Styela clava: one gene and its partners. The protein of the gene in region 1 binds, or shares a complex with, the protein of each later gene. Links are inferred from orthologs where the notes say so. Each region holds a gene or a part of one and is shown on either strand. Other genes may lie near its edges.

What was found.
Region 2: outer dynein arm-docking complex subunit 4-like (region 1) and outer dynein arm-docking complex subunit 3-like share a complex: the UniProt entries of both Homo sapiens proteins name them as parts of the outer dynein arm-docking complex. The link is inferred for Styela clava from reciprocal best matches to the Homo sapiens genes ODAD4 and ODAD3.
Region 3: outer dynein arm-docking complex subunit 4-like (region 1) and calaxin-like share a complex: the UniProt entries of both Homo sapiens proteins name them as parts of the outer dynein arm-docking complex. The link is inferred for Styela clava from reciprocal best matches to the Homo sapiens genes ODAD4 and CLXN.

Annotation. Positions count from the first base shown.
Region 1 is NC_135250.1:16,655,549-16,662,531, forward strand, and holds the start of outer dynein arm-docking complex subunit 4-like, read left to right. Parts: upstream 1-3,918; 5' UTR 3,919-3,933; coding exon 3,934-4,107; intron 4,108-4,959; coding exon 4,960-5,091; intron 5,092-5,347; coding exon 5,348-5,501; intron 5,502-5,793; coding exon 5,794-5,890; intron 5,891-6,983. UniProt on the Homo sapiens protein: Component of the outer dynein arm-docking complex (ODA-DC) that mediates outer dynein arms (ODA) binding onto the doublet microtubule. Plays an essential role for the assembly of ODA-DC and for the docking of ODA in ciliary axoneme.
Region 2 is NC_135254.1:24,001,121-24,008,428, reverse strand, and holds the start of outer dynein arm-docking complex subunit 3-like, read right to left. Parts: upstream 3,022-7,308; 5' UTR 2,873-3,021; coding exon 2,794-2,872; intron 2,036-2,793; coding exon 1,914-2,035; intron 1,721-1,913; coding exon 1,616-1,720; intron 1,320-1,615; coding exon 1,167-1,319; intron 489-1,166; coding exon 384-488; intron 52-383; coding exon 1-51. UniProt on the Homo sapiens protein: Component of the outer dynein arm-docking complex (ODA-DC) that mediates outer dynein arms (ODA) binding onto the doublet microtubule. Involved in mediating assembly of both ODAs and their axonemal docking complex onto ciliary microtubules.
Region 3 is NC_135260.1:14,792,955-14,798,771, forward strand, and holds calaxin-like, read left to right. Parts: upstream 1-4,262; 5' UTR 4,263-4,341; coding exon 4,342-4,995; 3' UTR 4,996-5,249; downstream 5,250-5,817. Other genes in the region: transcription factor MafK-like, read right to left, coding at 195-320, 1,535-1,639, 2,380-2,418; NFU1 iron-sulfur cluster scaffold homolog, mitochondrial-like, read right to left, coding at 5,484-5,504. UniProt on the Homo sapiens protein: Component of the outer dynein arm-docking complex (ODA-DC) that mediates outer dynein arms (ODA) binding onto the doublet microtubule. Seems to regulate the assembly of both ODAs and their axonemal docking complex onto ciliary microtubules.

The DNA of each region.
Region 1 (6,983 bases):
GAACTCCTCGGCCACGGGTTGGACGAACCTGCAATAGATGATATCCACATTGCGCGACGTTCCGGATCTTTTGAAATCAGTGGAATATAACTTAAGATCCATTTCGTTGTCTATATATTATACGTACAGCCAACGGAACAATACGAAATAACCATTTTCAACAGCCAAACAAAACGGAAACGTATAATCCGACTTGCAACTGACAGGAGCCAAATGGACGTTTTTGTTTTATTGCCGTCCAGTAACAAAGTCACGTGACCCGTGCAAGTCCTCTTTTTTTCGCATTGGACAAAAATGATTTGGATTCACATGGAAATTATATCTGCACCTGCAATATTTTTTTATGTTGCTGCTGCTGGCATGACCCTTGACCCCAGAAAAATTCTCCATGTACAGTACTATAAAATTTGGGATGCTTATTTTGCAAGTGTTTTAGAGATTTGACACTTGAAAAACTGATTTAGGCTACATGCTCAAAATCATTATTTTCATTAAAATATACAATCACGTGCCGCCCGCGCGTACTGATAGTTAATTTAGTCTATCGCTGCTTCTCCGAAACTAGTTTTAGATTATTGCTACTAAACTAAAACTCATCGGAAGACAGAACTAAAAGCAAAATACCCCATTTACAACTAATTTTTGGAAACACAACTGAAACTGACAAATAACAGGCAAAACCGCAAAAAACGAGGCAATGTTCACGACCATGCTTGAATATTTGTCTGAGCAAACGAAAGATCTGAGCGTCTGCAAAAATTTACAATTGTTACGTCGACTTTTTTATCATTGTTACGGAAATCAACCCTAGGAGAAACATCCGGTATAACAAAAATAAATGTGCAGGCTTCTAGGAGACTACTCTTTGCAGTTGTTATGACAACACGCCGCCGCATTCTTATCCTGCTCCCATTGTTTTATGACGTTCTGATTTTCTAGGTTGTAAAGTTATTCGTTACTTTTACTGTTTAACACATATAAGGTATTTGTATAAGAGAATGTATGACGAAGAAGGAGAAGATGAACCTAAAAGTTCTTTTCCTACTTACGTAGCGGAAGGAGACAAACTTTATAACGCGGGAGAATTTCAGAAAGCATTGGAGAGTTATACAACGGTATAAACTTCCATTTACAGATTTACTTTATTTTCTTGTTGTCTCAATTTATATTTAATTTATAACAATATATGGCAACAAATTATTCAATAATTTTTATTTATATACCCTAATTTTCGTCAGTATTTAAGTACCGTATATTCTGATATCACGGTATCAGGATATCAGGCGCGGCGGTGTGGCTCAACGGGCTAAGCGTTAGGAATACGCTCGCCACCGCACCTCTAACTACTCTGCTTGGGTTCGCAGGTTCGAATCCCATGCAGGGATGGTTATGTGCGAGAGGATTGCTGGACTCCTCGCCGTCGTTGGGTGGTTCACGTAACCGCTGGTCGGTTACGGCTTCCTCCACCACCAAGTTCATGCTTCCGAAAACAAACAATACAGTAAAACTAATCCCATACCCGACTTGGAATGGTAACCGGACGAGAGGCCGTGGTTCGCCATATGGATAAGCCGTCTTATCGGCTTTCCTCTCCCCCGGGAGAAATATGTAAATATGTAAATCCTCCTGAATGTTTACGCACAACACAAAGTTCTTAAGTTGAAACTTACCAATTTTTATGAACTTTGTTTAATTAGAACATCTGTAATTATTACCCGGAAAGAATCACTGTCTAATCGACCGCTGGCCCTAATGACTGTTGCCATTTGCTCGATATTTCATAGATGTGTTGCATATTGAGAGATTAGTGATTAATATGGATTTTTTTCTTCATCTAATAGAATTCTTAAAAAAAAAACTCTGTAGACTTTTTCGAAAAGTCTGTCACACATGCGTCGGCTGTCACATGTCAGCATTCATCCTTTTTTGCTAAAAACTTGTGAATGCTATGATAATTTTTTTTTGGTGAAACAAATTATTTTTTCCTAGTAATCCAATTACAGAATTATAGCTTTATTAGATTTTCTTTCTTTTAGTTTATTGTGTGGTATTGGTTTGCGTTTGGTGGGGATATGGAGGCGCCAGCTTGTCTTGTAAAGGAGGGGTTTGCATTCATCGTTTTAGTTAATGTCTTTTAATATAGGAGTTATTCTTGGAATCGAAGAACTGTGCTGAGGTAATAAAATCTCGTTCTTCCAATTATCTAACATGGATTGCAGAATCGACGATTTCCCTGTATAACTGAATTAATCTTGCCTTTCACTTTGAAGCTCTTTCTATCATACCTTGATATTAGTCATTAATGTTGAAGCAATGGTATATTCACAGCCAGAATCACAATTTGTTATTTGCAACAGGATTTTCTTCTGCCTGGTTTCATTCAAAACATAGACTTATCCTGAATTTGTTTTTAATTATATCCAATAGTTTCCAAAGAGTATTCAGTTGTCCTTTTCATTAGTAAAGCATTATTCATAGACTGCAATTGACTTCAAAAATACCATTTTTTGAAAATAATTGCAGTGCCAGCTTCCAACATAAAGTACTGATATCCGAATTTGTTTTTTTTTTCACTAAAAACTATCTGATAACTTAAGCCAGCCTATGCTTTTAAAACAATTCCTCTGGAATACCGGTGTTTTAGTTCAATATTGTAATGGGCCAAATTTACCTGAGCTTCTTGCTTTTCGACTGACTCATCTGCTCGTTCTTAGGAAGTAAGTCTTCCTGCTATTTATATATCCCAATACCATGAATCAACAGTTTAAAGAATAATGCTCTGACATCTTGTTAAATTGTTCACAAATTAATTTTTCTATAGAGGCTTGTTTGCCCTAGAAAGTAATCCAACAATGAAGTCAATTATGCCTAGATGTCACTTTTTATTGAAGATAAAATAAAATTATTCACCGGTATGTTATTTTGGTCAAGCATATTAGTTTTTTCATTCAAAGATAAGTTTCTAACACTCATGTTTGGTTAAGTATTTTATCAATTAAAATACCACCTACCCACCAAAGTAAATATATAAAACATGAAAAGCAGACAATTACACTATTTGCTTAGAACTAAAATATTGTCATTTTTGTCTACACTCTCGTAAAACAAGCTCTTCCTTTCTCTTTTTCCTAATGAGAGACTGAAAATGAAGTTTATGGTGCGTTACTAGATACATAGCAACAATTCTTTTTCTGCCCAGAAAATAAAATAACGATTATAAAAAGTTCATGCACTGGGTGTATAAGAATGTATAGAGTCATTACCTCTCAGTGTAATATTTTATAATAAGGCATCACTTGTATTATACATGGTGTAATGCAGTTCAATGTAAGATTAGTTGTGGAGGCAGGATATGATTTATATATAGAGTGTGTGGAAAGAATGGCATAATCATATAATGGTCCACAAATTCATATGGTTACCAGTTTCCGTCAGTCATGAATTTAACCATTTAACAAGCATATTTTATTTTTTTGCTCATATTGAAGGCAGAGTATTGTGTTATACATTCTGTCATAAACTTCTAATTTAAGCATTTTAAATATTTATTCCATACAATTTATTTTTCAATACAAAACTATACCAAACGCAGTTATGCTTGGAGTATGAGCGGTATACTAATGACTTCTGAAGATTTCGTTTATCATTAAAACGGGTTTTCATATTTGGAAGTTGAAAAATGACTTTATCCAGACATAACAGGGCGAATAGAATGCCCATAATCAGAGAATCTGTTATGCAGAGGTACTTTGCTATAAGCTTGCTCCAGCTGTAAAAAGTTATCATAAAGGTTTTACTGTTTATAACAGTGCTCACAGATTTAGCGTTCATCGGGGAATCTGATTTTGAGGTTATTGATTAAAAATTTTGATTCAGTATTCCAAAATTTATGTTATTAAATTCAGGATAACTATCAGCAAAGATTAGTTCATAATGGAAAAGAGTGCAAAGGAAAAAAATAAAGTAGTTAATAAATATGGTGTAGAGATCAAAAAACCAGACAAAAAAACAAAATATGATGAAAAATATGCTGATATGTATTTTAAAAGAGCTGAAAAAAATAGATTGCAACAAAATTTTCACATTGCGTTGGAAGATTTCTGCAAAGTAAGAATTCTTATTAACTTGTAAATTTGCTACGACATTTCATGACATAATCTGTTTTCACCTATAGATTGTCACATTATTGCATATGAGAAGTATATCTCCACCTAAATAGTTGAAATTTTTTTTTTCAATGTTAAAACACAATAACTCACTTTAAACTAATAGAATTTTCAATATATATCAAACAATTCTGAATTTCCCAATCTAGATAATAATTTAATGGTTAGGTAATTGGTTCGAGCTATGTTGTAGTCACAATTTTGTTATGTTGGTTTCAAGCCCCATGTCCGCCATTTCTCAAGATAAATTAGAAGGTTGCTTCGCGGTGACTTATTTTTAGCGAATGTATGGGACGGCATTGGCCAGTACGAAGTGAAGTGAATAAAAGAGGGGAGGGATTCGACTCATTTGTGGCCGATTACAATCAATGGCCAGTGTTGTATACCATAATTGCAATATCTTGCCAAAATATGTAATATATATTATTATGTAATATTTTCTTCAAATTATTATAAAAATATATTTTTAAGACACCATGAATCTATGATGTAAAGTAAGGATGGTGTAGCGGTCTTGTTATAAAAGAGTTTTGTAGTAGTAGTAGTCTAAGAGTGCTTATACTATTTGCTCATATTAATTTTATGCATTATTTTCTGCTCATTGTTTATCACTATAATTGTTCGTTGTGCTTTTTTTTTATCTATCATTCTATATAGATGTTTCAAGTGTCTGCCATAAATGAATATAAAAAAAAAATATGCCTAGATGATTTTTCAACCTTATGGAACCTTTATTACCTATGTCTAATGCTAAAGTATACCAATTGCTTACAGTTTGAGTTTTATTTTTCAGGCCCTGAGTATTCAGCCGACAGACAAGAATTGTCTTGTTGCAAGATCAAAGTGTTATCTCCAGATTGGTAATGCACAAGAAGCATTGAAAGATGCTGAAGCTTCACTTTCAGAAGAGAAAGAATTTCATAAAGTTAGCTGCTTTATATAAAAATGGAACGGCCAATATTTATTAAGATTCTGTGATTTTATGGTTATTATTGGTACCTCACATCGCAAACGTGATAATCCGAGTTCAAACCTTATAATACACTAGAAAAAATGTAGATTACCAAATATATGATCAATTGGAGGAACGCCTACCTAATTGTTGATACCCTTGTCTATGAACGATTTCTTGTAAATGATTTTTCTATTATTTTAAATGATTTTCATATTATCTCATTCAGGGCTTATATCAGAAAGCTGAAGCTCTATACCAAATGGGAGATTTCGAATACGCTCTTGTATTTTACCATAGAGGACATAAATTACGTCCAGAACTTCAAGAATTCAGACTCGGAATTCAAAAAGCGCAGGAAGCAATTGATAATTGTGTAGGAAGTAAGTGTTATAAAATATATTCAGCTTTATTTGAATTTGTATTTACGAAATAATCAAGTAACCTCCATGCCAATTATCTAAATTTCCCAATTCTAAATGTTTCGTCTAGTTATTAGTGCTGTAAAGATGTAGCTCAAGCTTCGATTTGAGTTCTGGTCAGTTCTTTGGTCATCCCAAATTCATCATCGGATCCAGGACATATGAGTTCCCTGAATAGGTTCAAGACAGTATATTCAATGCAACTTCACCCTTTCTGTTTTTATAACTTCTCCTAATTTGTCTAAAAATTCAGGTCCATCCTCTGTTAAACTTGAAAACAAAGGTGATTTATCATTTTTCAATAAGATGGATGAAGGAAAGGGAAAAGCGAAACCCAGGGGAGCTTACAGGTTATTTGCACTGTCTTTATCATTTCTTTACATTTTCAATGGCAGAAACTCTACATGGGTATTCAACAAATATGCACTTTTCTCTTGGTTTGATCTGCCTTGTTCAGATGAAAAAATGTTTTTCCAATTTGGTCAATGGACAATAACTTTATTTCGACATGCAAGAAATCATGAATATTTTAACACAAATTATAATACTTTAGGTTTAGGATACAGGATTTCATTGCAATTGACTGACAGAACTGGTTCTAGATTTAGGTTACTATCTTGTTGATAATAATATTCTCCAACGTCCGGAGACGCTCAAAGTGCTCTGCACTCTAGGTCGATTTCTGTGACAAAGATGACAATTAACTGCACAAGTCATTACTTATTTGTTACATACCGTAATTCAGAAATGTTTATATTATTCTGAAACTGAAAATAATGATTTCATGCATAAGTTTTTTGATACTGAATGATTGCACTTGGTATTTTTTAGTATATCACTCATTCTATAACAATTGAACAAGATTGAACAATTTAAATACTCTATTTGCACTTACAGAATTATCCTAGAATAGCAAACTATTTGAATACAAATAATTTACTAGACCAGTGGTTATGAACCAGGGTGTCGCGGCACATTAGTGTGCCGCGAAAAGATTTTGGTGTGCCGCAAAGAGATTTCATTTTTGAATTTATTTCAAGTGATTCCAATTTCTAATCCCTTGAATTCCACAAGGCTCATGGCTTTTGCTAACAAACAAAAACGACAAATTTGAGGAGTCATATTCCAGGTATTTGGGTATTGTTTCAATTCTAAGTTTTGAATAATGCGCGCCAGCCGCCAACACTGTATCGTAAAATTGAAAATGTCAACCAAGGGAATAAATTATTGTGGGAAATTTTTCCCAAATTGGACCAGGGAATTATTATTTGAGAATTCCCATTATTGCCCATTTATTTAATTATTATTTAAACTCAAAATAACATTCCGGATTCACGCAATGACTTTGCAGGTTTTTTATTCACCAATTAATATGAAAATAAAACAGACACAATAGGAAAGTAAAATTAAATAAAGGTCAACTATCGTCTTTATAAATATCCG
Region 2 (7,308 bases), on another chromosome or scaffold:
TAATATATCTGCTTCCTGAGCATCTAATTGATTATGGAAAGTCAGACTCTCCTGTTAAAATAAACACAGTTTATAGACAAGTTCCTTCTTATGTGTGTGATAGAAACAATTCCATTGTCATCTGTTCGACACAAATATTTTGTTTTGAATAATTGATATTTTAATACTCCTTTGCTTTCGCATATGCTTTTATAGGAATAATGAATAAATGAACAATTTTCATTTAATTGAATTTCAAGATAATTCTCTCACAATAAAATGATGAAACTACCTAAAATGATCCTTGCAATCACTGTTTTGCAATTGTACTGTGTAACATTGTTTATTGCAAATGAGTTTCCAACCGGCTGTTTATCACGAATAGGTTCTACTGACTTACGCACCTGTTGTAAATGGGCTTTGATTTTTTCATAAACTTTACTGATGTGATCTGCTTCCTGACTTTTTAATCTTGCTTTATCCAAACGATTTTCCAGTTGTCTTAAATGCTATTGTAATGTAAACATAAAAACAATTCTCAAATATGTTGACACAAGGGTCATATACCAGTGTTTCCATACTTCGTAAAAAGCGTTTCCATAAATTAAAAAATAAAAAATAAATTTGGGTAAATATGGGGGCCAATATGACTCATGGAAAATTAAAACAATATATAAGTAATTATCATCTAGCATCTATTTTCATCTTTAAATACTGAAGATTTGAAATTGATTTGAGATTGATCCCCTTGTTGCGGTGAAAGACAATTTTCCCAATAATAACAATTTAGCAAAATGATGCATGTACACCTCATGTCGTACAGTGAGCATGACTAAGTTTTGCTAAAACTTGAATTCAGACGAATCATAACAAGAATAAAATTGAATATTCATAGATGGATTGATCGATGATTTAACAATTCAAATTCTATACCAGATTATTACTGAAAAGTCAAATTGTATTTTGACATAAAAATGTTCTCATTATCTGTAGGAAATATCGACCAGTATCAAATTTCACAATATCTCTGTATTGGGCATTGTTTGCAGGATTGGAAATGATGTGTGAAGGCTGTGTGAAATAATAAAGATGCTATCATTGATTATTTTCCTTAAGTTAAATAAAACAAATTTCTAATCACAAAAGAAAATTGAACTATTTTACGCATGAAAAAAAATCATATTTACCTGAGCTGATTCACTCTCTCCTTTATCTAACTCTTCAGCAGCTGATTTGTCCTTCACCATCTGATCATGTTGGGTTTGAAGTTCATTCAATTTTCTTTTTCTTGCTTCACTCGTCGATTTCAAAGCATTCAATCTCTTCTTACTGTCACAAACCTGGGCATAATTTTACAAGGTTAGGAGCAATAATACAAATAAAATTACACATGAATTGATAAATTTTAGATTACAATATTACAATACAATATTTTACTAGATTCAAATTAATTTTCTGGTAATACTTTTAATTTTAGGTCAATTCCAACTCATAGCAGGTTTAACTTATTGTAGAATGACTTGGATACAAAGTAGTCACATGCTAGAAAGGCACTTCACAAATCTCACCAAAGAACACCTTTATATTGAAGTTGTATAAAAGTATATTGTCAAAATTGAAAAATAAATAAAATAACCTTTTGATCTATAATCATGATAGCAGTTTTTCCAGACTTGTTACGCAATGCTGCTCGTTCCACATGTCTACCTTCAAATGCTTCATCTATAACTTTATCATCTCCCTGAACAAATCAAAAAGCATGTTCAACAAATTTAAAAAACACGAATGTAATTGAAAAAACATGAGCCAAATTGCACAGATTGTGAAGTTTGAAAACTTTGGAGGTTGTTTTCTAAAAATGTAAACAATGCTAGCTAGAGGATACAGAGAATTCACAAAATATTCTTAATTCTCACACAGAATAGGCTACTTACCGCAAGCAGATCTGCTAATGTCTTGTGCAATGTTTTATTCTCTTGTCTCATTCTCGCGATAATCTCTCTGTTCTTCTTGATTGACCATTGTGAACTTTCATAATAAGCTTTACGATCACCCTCTATAAAAATATAAATTATGAGTTGACTGATCAGTGAGAAAATTTGATCTTTTGACAAACTAAAGTTTAAAATGAGGTTAAAATCAAACCCAGTAGTGAAATCACACTAAATTCAATAGAGCACAGTTCTCTGATTCCAAGATGTCTTAATATTTGGTTCAATAAAACAAACACACAATTTATCTCTGAAACAAGGGCGACAAGGGCCATGCTTGTTTCAATAATTTAAATTTATCATGGCGTTTTTAGCTAAAAACTCTCGAAAGCTATGGTAAAATTTTTTTCAATAAAACGAAAATATGAGGCATTTTTGGATTGCGCTGTCTTTTAGTTTGTTGTGCAGTGCCGGTTTTTCGTCAGTATGGAGGCCCAGACTGTCTCAAGAAGAAATGGGTTGCATTCACTGTTATAATTGATGTCTTTTAATATGGGGACTATCCTTGGAATCGGAGAACTGTGTCCTACTGATATTTGGATTAAAAGAGATAATAAAAAACAATAATACTAAAATATTCTGATGACAAATATATAAATGCAGTGATGATCACTGAGACTTGTAATGAGTTCATTCAACATTCTGACAATTGATCTAACTTACCAGAATTTAAGTGAAAATAAAGTATATCATTGAGTGAAAATAACATATAGGCTACAAATAATTATAATAATGTGTCAGTGTGTAGGGTTTGATACCGCAAAACACCATGATACAGACATACACCATTCTGGACTGCGGTAATTAAAAATTACTAACTTACCCAAAAGCGAAATTTTTTTGGTGATTTCCGATATTTGTTCTTGAATTGGAGGTTTATGCATTCCTGACTGACCTCTCATATTGCTGTTGAGGCGCTGTATTATATCGGTACAGCGATGAAATAAAAGTATAACTTTGAAGTCACAAATATACCTCCAAACAACTAACCGCGCAGATCACGTAAACCAGAATCGTGCCGGTTTAGAGAATGAACACGAAACGTTGCCGGTAGCAACAACTTTGCTCAAACATCAGTGAGAAGTGCTTACCGGAGTCAATATGAAAAGAAGGTGTTAAAGGTGGGTTATCACAGAAATTATTTTTGATGAATTTCATTTTATATATTTTTTTAAAATTTTGACGCTTACTATTTACATAGAGTCGACTTAGTTTTCTACTTATTAATTTCAAAAAATACATTTAACGAAAATCGTCCGCAGTTCAGAAAGGACCTTTGATGACGGGGAACTGAGAATTCCTTCCAGGACTTCATCGCGCATTCGCGAGTAGGATGTTTAACCTCTGTTATTGGCATTTCATTATGGTTTCTCGTTGCGTAGTTTCATAAAGATTGGAACAATAATGCCGCAGGTCGTGCCCTTAGTAAGGACTATTGCTGCAAGCTCTGCGGTAATTTCGAAATCATTATTAACTCCCCGTAAGAAGATCGCCAACTGAGCAGTAACCTTGATGCCAGCATTGATGACTACATGATGCCAGTGCTTTCGTCAAGCGCCAAGGAATACGATGAAAATTTTCCCGCCTTTGCAATTGAAGTCTCCGCTGTTAGACTTCTCAAGTTCTTTGACATGACGAGTTATGGTCTGTCTTGACAGGCTATTTTTGCAAACACCTCTTTTATTTCCGGACGTAAAACATTGGCAACCCGAACAATATATAATATACATTCATTAGCGAATTCTCAATCTGAGAATGGCTTCTATTGTTTTGCGATAACATCATATAGAGTAGTTAAAGACCAAGTGTGTAAGCGGCTATGGCACCTTTATTTATCGATATTTCCTCCAAGTTGGTTTCGATTCGAAATGACCCTAATGTCTCGTTTGCAAGGGCTGGCAGAGCGCATTTCAGGAAAATATACAAATCGTTTGTATCACATCTTTGTATACTACATCACTCAAAAAATAGATTTACTCCAATTTTTTTATCCAATTCTGAAAAATACGGCGCGGGCCACTCAAAATGCTTCCGCTGGCCACGGGTTAGGCGACCCTTCTTTAAAGAAATCTGTAAGGTCCTTGCTAATGATACGAATCATAAGTTATAGAAAACGAATAGACAGACCGTCCGTTCAAAAGCCTTTCTTTAATCCTTTTTGTTAACGATGGAAATAATTTCATATTCTAGTATAGGCTCCAGATAGATTAAATTTTTCTGAGGTTTGCCCAAATACTTCATAAAATTTATAGAATTATTTGCTAGCTTCGATGCAAGATTAGGTCCAAAATTTACAAAGTAAGTGTTAAATTCTTGGCATATGGACTGGGGGTTGTATATGATTCTATGAGTTGTCTCAATTTCGTGTGGAAAATTTCGTTTACGTTTCTTATTGGTGATTGTGTTAATGAGACTCCAAGTCTTCTTTTTGTCGCCCTCTATAGTTCTTTAAATTCTGCTTTGTAAAATTTCGTTTAAGCCTTTTTCTTGATGTGTGAGAGAATGTTGAAGTATCTTTTGTGATACCTTATTTTTGATTTGTCTGTCGACAAAAAATGACATTTATACAAAACGTTTATGAGTCGAGATTAATTTCTTGATATCTATTGGGAAACATGGTTTCGAGACAAATCTCAGTTCTTTGGGTGTTTTTTCCTCAGTGCGGCATGTTTGTCAACAACCGATTTTAGAGTTTCCAGAAGCGTACCGAATGATTTTTCAATATCAAGCTTGAATAAACAGTCAATATTTAATTTAGCTGTTGAGTTTTCAATGTCTTCCAAAAATGATTCAAGGTGGAAGTATTTCAATGATCGCACAAATTTTGTCTCTGAATTCTTTTTTAATGGTTTATTGCGAAGTATACACACTGAAAAGATGGTCAGAAATACCATACCACAAGGCATAATCCAACAACTGTAAATCGTTTTCGTTGCTGTATATATATGTGATCAATTGAGGTGCAAGAGATATCAGTGATTCTGGTATAGGCGCAGTTGTGAACACTTGTAATGAATTAGACAGTAACATGTTTGAGTATTCAAAAACGAAGGAATCAGAAGTTTTGCACAAATTTATTTTAAAGTCGCCAAGAAAGAAAGCTGTTTTCTTGTTTATCATAATTTTGTGCAGCGACTCGTTTAGCAATGTGTGGAATTTTTTGCGAGCTTGTTTGGCATGTCTATATATTTCCGGTACAATCACTTGTTTGCTATTGTTTAGATTGACACTTATCCACAGATCCTTCCAGCCAACAAGATTAAGCTTATATTCATCTGTTTTGAAATATTCAACATAGTCTTTTATGTAAAAACACACTCCCCCGGCCGTTGTTGGAGAATCCTCGTGTATAAAAGAGTAACCTGAGAAGAACTGAATATATACCTGAATAAGATATATATACAGATATACAAAATAAGACTGGGTACAGAATTACAGACAACACCCACATAAAGTATTAAATCTAGATGATTTAAGACAACAAAAAATAGCCTAGAATGTTATTTCACTTTTAAGTATGTTACAGCAGTAGGTCGGGCACAGAGATCGAGTTTTTTTTCAACCTCAATTTGTTAAGTTTACTGTCATTCTAATAATGCAACGACATTCTTTGAAGGTATTGGTATGTTTTTAAACCACTGCGGCGTTTGCCAAGTGCAACTCCCAATAGAACTAGCATACGGTTCGAAATAAGAACACAGAACGCTATGAATGCCTTTAACCTAATGAACAATTATGCCGACGAGGTTTCTGCAGGGTTGATTTTTATAAATGCGTGTCTCGCAAACAAAGTCCACCATACGTAAGCAGTAAACGCCAATATTCTTAAAAAAATATGTATAATTAAATTCGTCATAAAACTTTATCCGTAACAACCCACTTTTCTAAATAGAAATAACGACAGCAACTAGTGACTGTGGTGCATAGTAAAATGCGTCAAAAAGGTTAATAATATAAACGCAAAGTTTACATACCTACTTCACACTCTTCTCGAGAAAATGGGCCCGAAAATGGATCACTTCACATAAGAAAATTTTTGCTTTGCTGTGATTATTCAACAGTAGAAAGTATATTTGCGAGTAGTTTCAATTTACTACCATATTCAATAAATAAATAATTACCTATACTGTTCCAGGAATCTATTACCGATTAGTATTCCCCCTTACATAAAAAGCATAGATGTGAATGTTTTAGAGGAGCGATGCACATCAGCATACAGCAGCATTAGCTGAATTAAAACAATTATCATCATGTGCTATCGATTGGGTGTCTCAGGGACTAACTATTATGTTTCTTTAATTTTTTGTGTCGGTGGATCCGTGTTCATATAGTGCAAGGATGCTGTAGTAAGAGTGAAGATGACTATCCTGAAGAGTCTTGATCGACTTGGGATAATTATCATTCATCATGCTACATATTTTTTTATATTTCCAAATATGGGATACACTTGAATGTAACCAGTGGTGGGATTAAGCCGGTTCGCATCGGTTCTATAGCACCGTCTCACGGAATTTTATGTGATCAGCGAACCGGTTAGAACTACTGGTTACTGTCAATGGATCAATATAAAATAAATATATACACTATACAGCAATATTTTTATTTTTATAGACAATCCTAAACATCATCAAAAATTTTGACAAAATGATGTTTACCCAACCATTTTTTTGAATTGTTAATTAGGGAGTAGTTAAAAAAAATCAGTTTATTTGCCAAAAAAATATGACTTTTTGTAACAGAACCGGCTAAAAAATATGACTTTTGTGATGGAACTGGCTGACAAAAAGTGTGAATCATACCACTAAATGTAACTCCTGTTCTCTTTCGCTTGGATCTGCAGGCTTGTCCATGGGACATATTTTTCTGTCCCATCCCATAGATATGTAAGCCCGTTCCATCCCATTGGAAATATTTTTCAATAAAAAGTTCTAAAATTAGGTTTAGCGTTTACTAAATAGGACTACATGTACAAAGAGACATGCAAAACGACGAAATTCATTGACTTTGTTAAATTGAAAAATTTAGAACTAACTAACAAGAGAGCTATGCTCAAACATATGGACACAAAGTCCATAACGAAATGTTTTGCCATCAATTCCCACAAAATCATACGACATCATGAACGAACCTAAACAGCAACAGTAACTTACCAGTACCTGAACGCTGCGCTTTGTAGCCAATGTCTGCGGACTGACACGTTGGGAAACACTGTTTTAAACAATCACCAACGGTGGGAGCGAGAGTATTCCTGGACCTATTCATAGTGAAACATGAACGATTGATACTAGCTTACGCTAAAGTTTTTTAAACCGAAGCTTTTGCATGTGATGTTTCATTA
Region 3 (5,817 bases), on another chromosome or scaffold:
TGGTATCGGATCGGTATCGGTGACAAAAGTGGTATCGGTACATCTCTACTTGCAAATCGAGTCAAATTGACGTTTTTTCTGCAAAATTTACTATTGATACAGTAAAGTAGTACCGGTGGTTGAATATTCAATATATTTTGACATTTAAGTTATATATATATATATTAATCTGGATAATCATTATTCGCGCCAACCTCTTTTTGCAGCTTCTGTCTTTGTAAATCCAGTTCATCTTTCTGTGTTAATCGTTTGATACGGCATGATGCTGCATAACCACGATTCTTCAATGTTCGCCTTCTCTGTTTTAATCTCCTACTTTCCTATGAAAAAATATTTTGATATATATTTTCAATTTGCATCATAAGAAATCCATTTAGCATATCACTGACACTGCCCTACTTCAGGTAACACATTCCTAAACATTAAGGTGGACCAAGTTTCCACATCAGAAGCAAACCTTCAAAATTTCCAATATGAAATGTAGATGACTGATAAATAAACAGTTGGGTCCACAAATTTTTTAAAATCTATGTTCTAAAAAAAATGATCATTGAAGTCTATCAAGATCAGCAATATTCGGAGTGATAGGCTATGTTCCAATACGCAGCATATACGGTTACAAGAGTAAGCCTTGTGGTAAGCTGTTTATTATATACAGTGCTTTATAATGAATATTGAACGTATAGAACAGTGGTTCTCAAACTTTTTTTGCTCACGGCACACCCAGCAAATAAGAAAAATCTCGCGGCACACTTGTGAAAAATTTGAGCTAGACTTGGACAAATTATTCTACAAATGTTAATGCGATGTGTGTGCCTGTTTTGAGAAACGACTCAAACGAGGGTCCGTCGCTCCCTTTTTTGCTTTTGATTACAGCCAGAGCAGAAAATACAGATTAATAGAGCCATGTAGATGCAAATGGATAGATTATTTTGATGGATTTTGCACCGATGATTGAATAGAATTTGTTAGCAGATAGCCAAAACTCAACCAAACTGGCTTTCCTGTTAGCCTAACTCAGGGGTCTGCAAACTTCGTACTCGCTTGACAGATCGTCATTTGAACGGGAAATGTGTATATTCGGCCCGCAGGTACACAAATTTTGCCGACCACTGGCCTAACTCAACGCTCAATTGAACATAGTGGAAGGTGGATATCATTTTTACAAAAAACATTATCACATCACAACGCAAGTATACTGGAACAATACCCCTTACTACAAGACAAGGCAAATGCAATAATATTATCAGTCTAATTAATTATGGATTATCAAATCTCATAAGTTGCGTGCATGTCTATGTGTAATACAAACAGCTTATTTTCTAGAATTCCAAAAAGCTCCGCGGCACACTTGAGAATCTCTCATGGCACACTAGTGTGCCGCACACAGTTTGAGAAACACTGGTATAGAAACTACTAAATTTCTATTCTTTATATATTTTCCTAACATAACAGGTCTACTTGCTGTATTTTTGTCCATACGTTTCTCTTTTTAAAATCTGTTTTGCTATAATGAAGTATGATTTTATACTACCTCTGGTGTCAGGTTTCGTAAACTTCTGTTAAGATCTCTCACACTCATGTTAAGCAATTCATCATCTGTAAATTGATGTCCTTGTCCAATATTCTCCATCTTGACCTTAAGTTATAGTCAAGTGAGATATACATCAGTACAAACAAAATTAACAGTGACAGTTGAATTAAAGGGTTTCTTTGTCACATATAAATACAAATGTGCCATTCTGAACTGGGAACATAATAGGTTATTAAATGTGCAACTCGTTATTTAAGTTATTTATAGTTTTATTTCAATCTTTCGTCTACAACACAGAATACAAATAAAAAAATAAATAAAGAACACAGACAATGAAGACGGAAAGATCGTGAAAATGGGCAAAACCTAGAGTAATATTTGTAGCCTATTGTTTGTTTGTTTGTGCTTATTCACCCAGACTCAAACAATTGGAAAAAACACATCACAACAATCGTACTTCGTACTTAAAAAGAATGAATTCATAAATAGCATACCATGTTTTTTTAGGACAAGGTCTTATACCAATTTTTTTTCAAATAATAACACTAGGGATTATTTTGGGGGATGGATTTTATTTTCATTTATCAAAAAAACAAAATTACAAAGTACAGAAGTAGACAATTACAAGATTTTTGAATAAATAAAATATGAAAACCGATATCTATTGAACTAAGCTCAGTTTTGTAGTTCGACTGCTGACTAACCGTATTGCAGTACTGAATAAGGTACCGTACAAGAATAGAACACTTTGAGACTAAAAGAGTCTGAAATCTTAGTACTGTAGTACCAGTAGTCTAAAAACACAGAAATATAGCCTAGGTTACTTAGATAGACAGCAAACTTACCTCTGAATTTTTCACAGGCACGTTCTCAGAATCTTCCATCACCTCACACAATGTTTTTTCTCTGACAAAGCTCAAGAATACTGAAACAAGCAGTGTACCCAGATAACAGTTTTAGCACACAGCGAAGGAACTAGAACAGCACAACGTCAAGCGAAAACGAAACTGTGAGTAAATTGCTCTGCAGTGCCACCACGAGTGAGAACATGAACATCAGAATATGGCTTGAAATAAAATGGTAAATTTGCAGAGATTTTATTTCCCCAAATATGGTATGGTATGCACACGGTATGTTAGTCGTTGTTTGCATGACAAAATAATCAGCACATGGGCAATACGTGAATAATAATAACAAAGACTTCAGAAAGAAAACCAAATCAGGAATGAATATAGAATAGATGTAGCATATAATGAAATAGGGACGTCAATTTCGAACGTGACCGAACAAGTCATGAAAACTCCTACATAAATTTGAAATTTTGCTTATACAAAAGTTACTAATGACTACCGACGATATAACAATCATTGTTATATTAAATGTGAAAAAATGGGATGGATTTCAATAAAAAAAATTAATGGTCATTGCATTTAGTTTTGGTAAAATTAGTTTCGATGAAAACCCCCTAACAAGGAATTTCTGCTTATGGCCATGTGATGTACTTATACATAAAGATACTTATATTGAATAACCGAAAAAGTATTTTTTCATAGTTTTGAAATAAATATTTCAACCCTAGTGCCCCAAGATATCGCACACTAACGCTTGGCTTGTACTGTTTTTGTTGGTTGATCATATTTACGGTTGATCTACATCTCAAGTTTTTTCTCAATATCTCACGAGTGCCACCTAGTGATTACATGGTTTCCTTGGATACGAGCATCGCCGCGTTCTTGCTTTCCAGCATTGCTGTGTAGTAAGTAGTCTAAGTTTATCGACTACGTTATACGTCTGTACATATTTTGTTCCGAAAATGCCAATGGAATGGCTGTTACTATTTGTTGGTTTAACATTTCGTGATCACCTACTATATTAAAGAATGATAAAACTGTGTTAGAGGCTGTCAGCAATAGAGATGTTCTTGACATTATCTTCATAACAGTTAACGTTAACCTATAATCTGCTCGCACGCGGAACTGCCCAATGCTTTGTATGTTGTTGAACATATAGCAATTCAGAATCTGCTTTATAATTACCATCTGAATAGTACAGTCAATAACTGGCACTGCCTTCACAGTTGTCCACCCCTGTTTTGTAGTTAACTATGAAACGTGCATTTTGGCAGCTGTTCTCCTGACAAGAAAGCTCCATTAAAAACTGGATTGTGAAAGTCGCCTTTTTGGTCTTTATGTTTTTCCAGTCAACGTATATCATGACTGGGCAAATTATTTATTACAAAATCTATTGGTACCACATAAGGAGTTGTGATTTTGACTTTCAGTGCATTGGGAGTTTTTTAAAAATAATAATATAGTCTAGGCCTACAAGTATATGTTGACTTATTTATTGATATTTGTTTACCATAGTATCAGCCTCAACTATCCTACAATTCCACATGTACTGTTAAAAACAACTCACAAGGTGACTAAAAATCACAACTCAAACCAACCATTGTGGCCGGAAAAATCAGCGGTGCGAAATATCTGTATACCTCCATACCATCTCCCAACAACATATGTTCAAGTGTTCTGTGACTCTAGACCTAAGTAGGTATGAATGATCAAAATTATTGTTCATAATCATCATAGATCTACCAAAAATCAACCACCGCTTCAATATTACAGCAATTTCGTTGACTTCCATTCTAAAGCTTTCATGCTCCTGATAGTTTTTGTAAAAAAAAAATGGAAGATAGGAAAAGGTCAAAAATCTTACTTTGAAACGAAACTATGTCCTGTTCTTTTACAGAGTCATTAGTATGAAAATGAAGTAGAAATTTAAAGTTAAGATATTGTGTATTTGACATAATGTATATCATGAATGGACTTAATAGGAAAAATCTACAAAAAGATGCAGATGATATCTGCAAAGGTGCACCAACACTTCACTTCAATAGAAGAGAAGTCCAAGCCTTGCTTGTGTTGTTCAAAGGTTTCAACAACAAAGGCGAAAAACTTGATCGAAACCAATTTCGAGATTTTTTGCAAGTTTGGTTCAGTATGACAGAAGATCTACTTATGGATCGTGTTTTTCGAGCATTTGACACAGACAGTGACTCTTACATCAACACAAAAGAATGGGTTGAAGGTTTATCTGTTTTCATGAGAGGAACACTTGATGAAAAAATTGATTATACTTTCAAAGTGTATGATCTTAATGGCGATAGTTACATATCGCGTGAGGAAATGTTCCAAATGCTGAAAAATTCTTTAGTAAAGCAACCGACCGAAGAAGATCCAGATGAAGGCGTAAAAGACTTGGTTGAAACAGCATTGAAGAAAATGGATTTTGATCATGACAGTCGTCTTTCATTCGCAGATTTCAAACAAGCAGTTGTAGCAGAAGAACTCCTATTGGAAGCTTTCGGACCCTGTCTACCAGACGAGAAAAGCTTAGAAGTATATGAAGCTAAACTAGCAGATGTTGCAATGGATTTTACAGATTTCTCCTCCAAAAACTAAGTACATTTTAAGCAGATTTAAATTTTTACCAAAGTATGACTAACCATTGAAAAAATTTTCTGAACTTAAATAACTGCACAAGATTCCGCATAAAAGTATTTGGCAATATATGACGAGGTACTAGTACAATTCAGGCCTGATGAGCACATTACTAGCTTAATATGTTATAGCAGTCACTAATAAAACCTTTCCATTCTATACATTATTAGCAAGGCCAAGTTGGTTTTTCCTAACCAATTGCCTGCATATACCATTTACTCCGAATAAAAGAAGTCTATTGTTTTAAATATATGTGTTTATTTATTGCGATAGTATATGTAAATAAAATTATAGGTGATATTTAACTTGAACATTTATATAACTGTAAAATTGGCAGCTGTAGAAGCAGCCAGTATTTTCATTTGTTCTCTCCATCACATTTTCTTTGGCAACGCGGTAAATGAACTATCAACTCATATCGAAAAGCAAGACAAACCTTGGAACTAATATCATGTGGGAGTGGAAGTTATCTGAAAAAAAAATATTGATCTTAACATTTTGTAAATGTGTAGCGCAAAGTATTTCAATGAATTTTCTTAATAAACTTGTTGCACAAATTATAAAAAATCAATGATCTGTGAATTTTCAATTCTGAAAGAGCAGTGTAAATATTTCTAACAATCTGTTGCTTTCAGTATAGTGATGCTTGACACGTCGATATTACAGAGGGTCGGAAGTCACTATGCCAAACTAGTCAAAATCATTGTTTGGGGGGCAGTTAACTCAAAAAGAATTATCTGCTGAACATTCTATGCTCCATGTTATCAGATTTTCTGACATTTT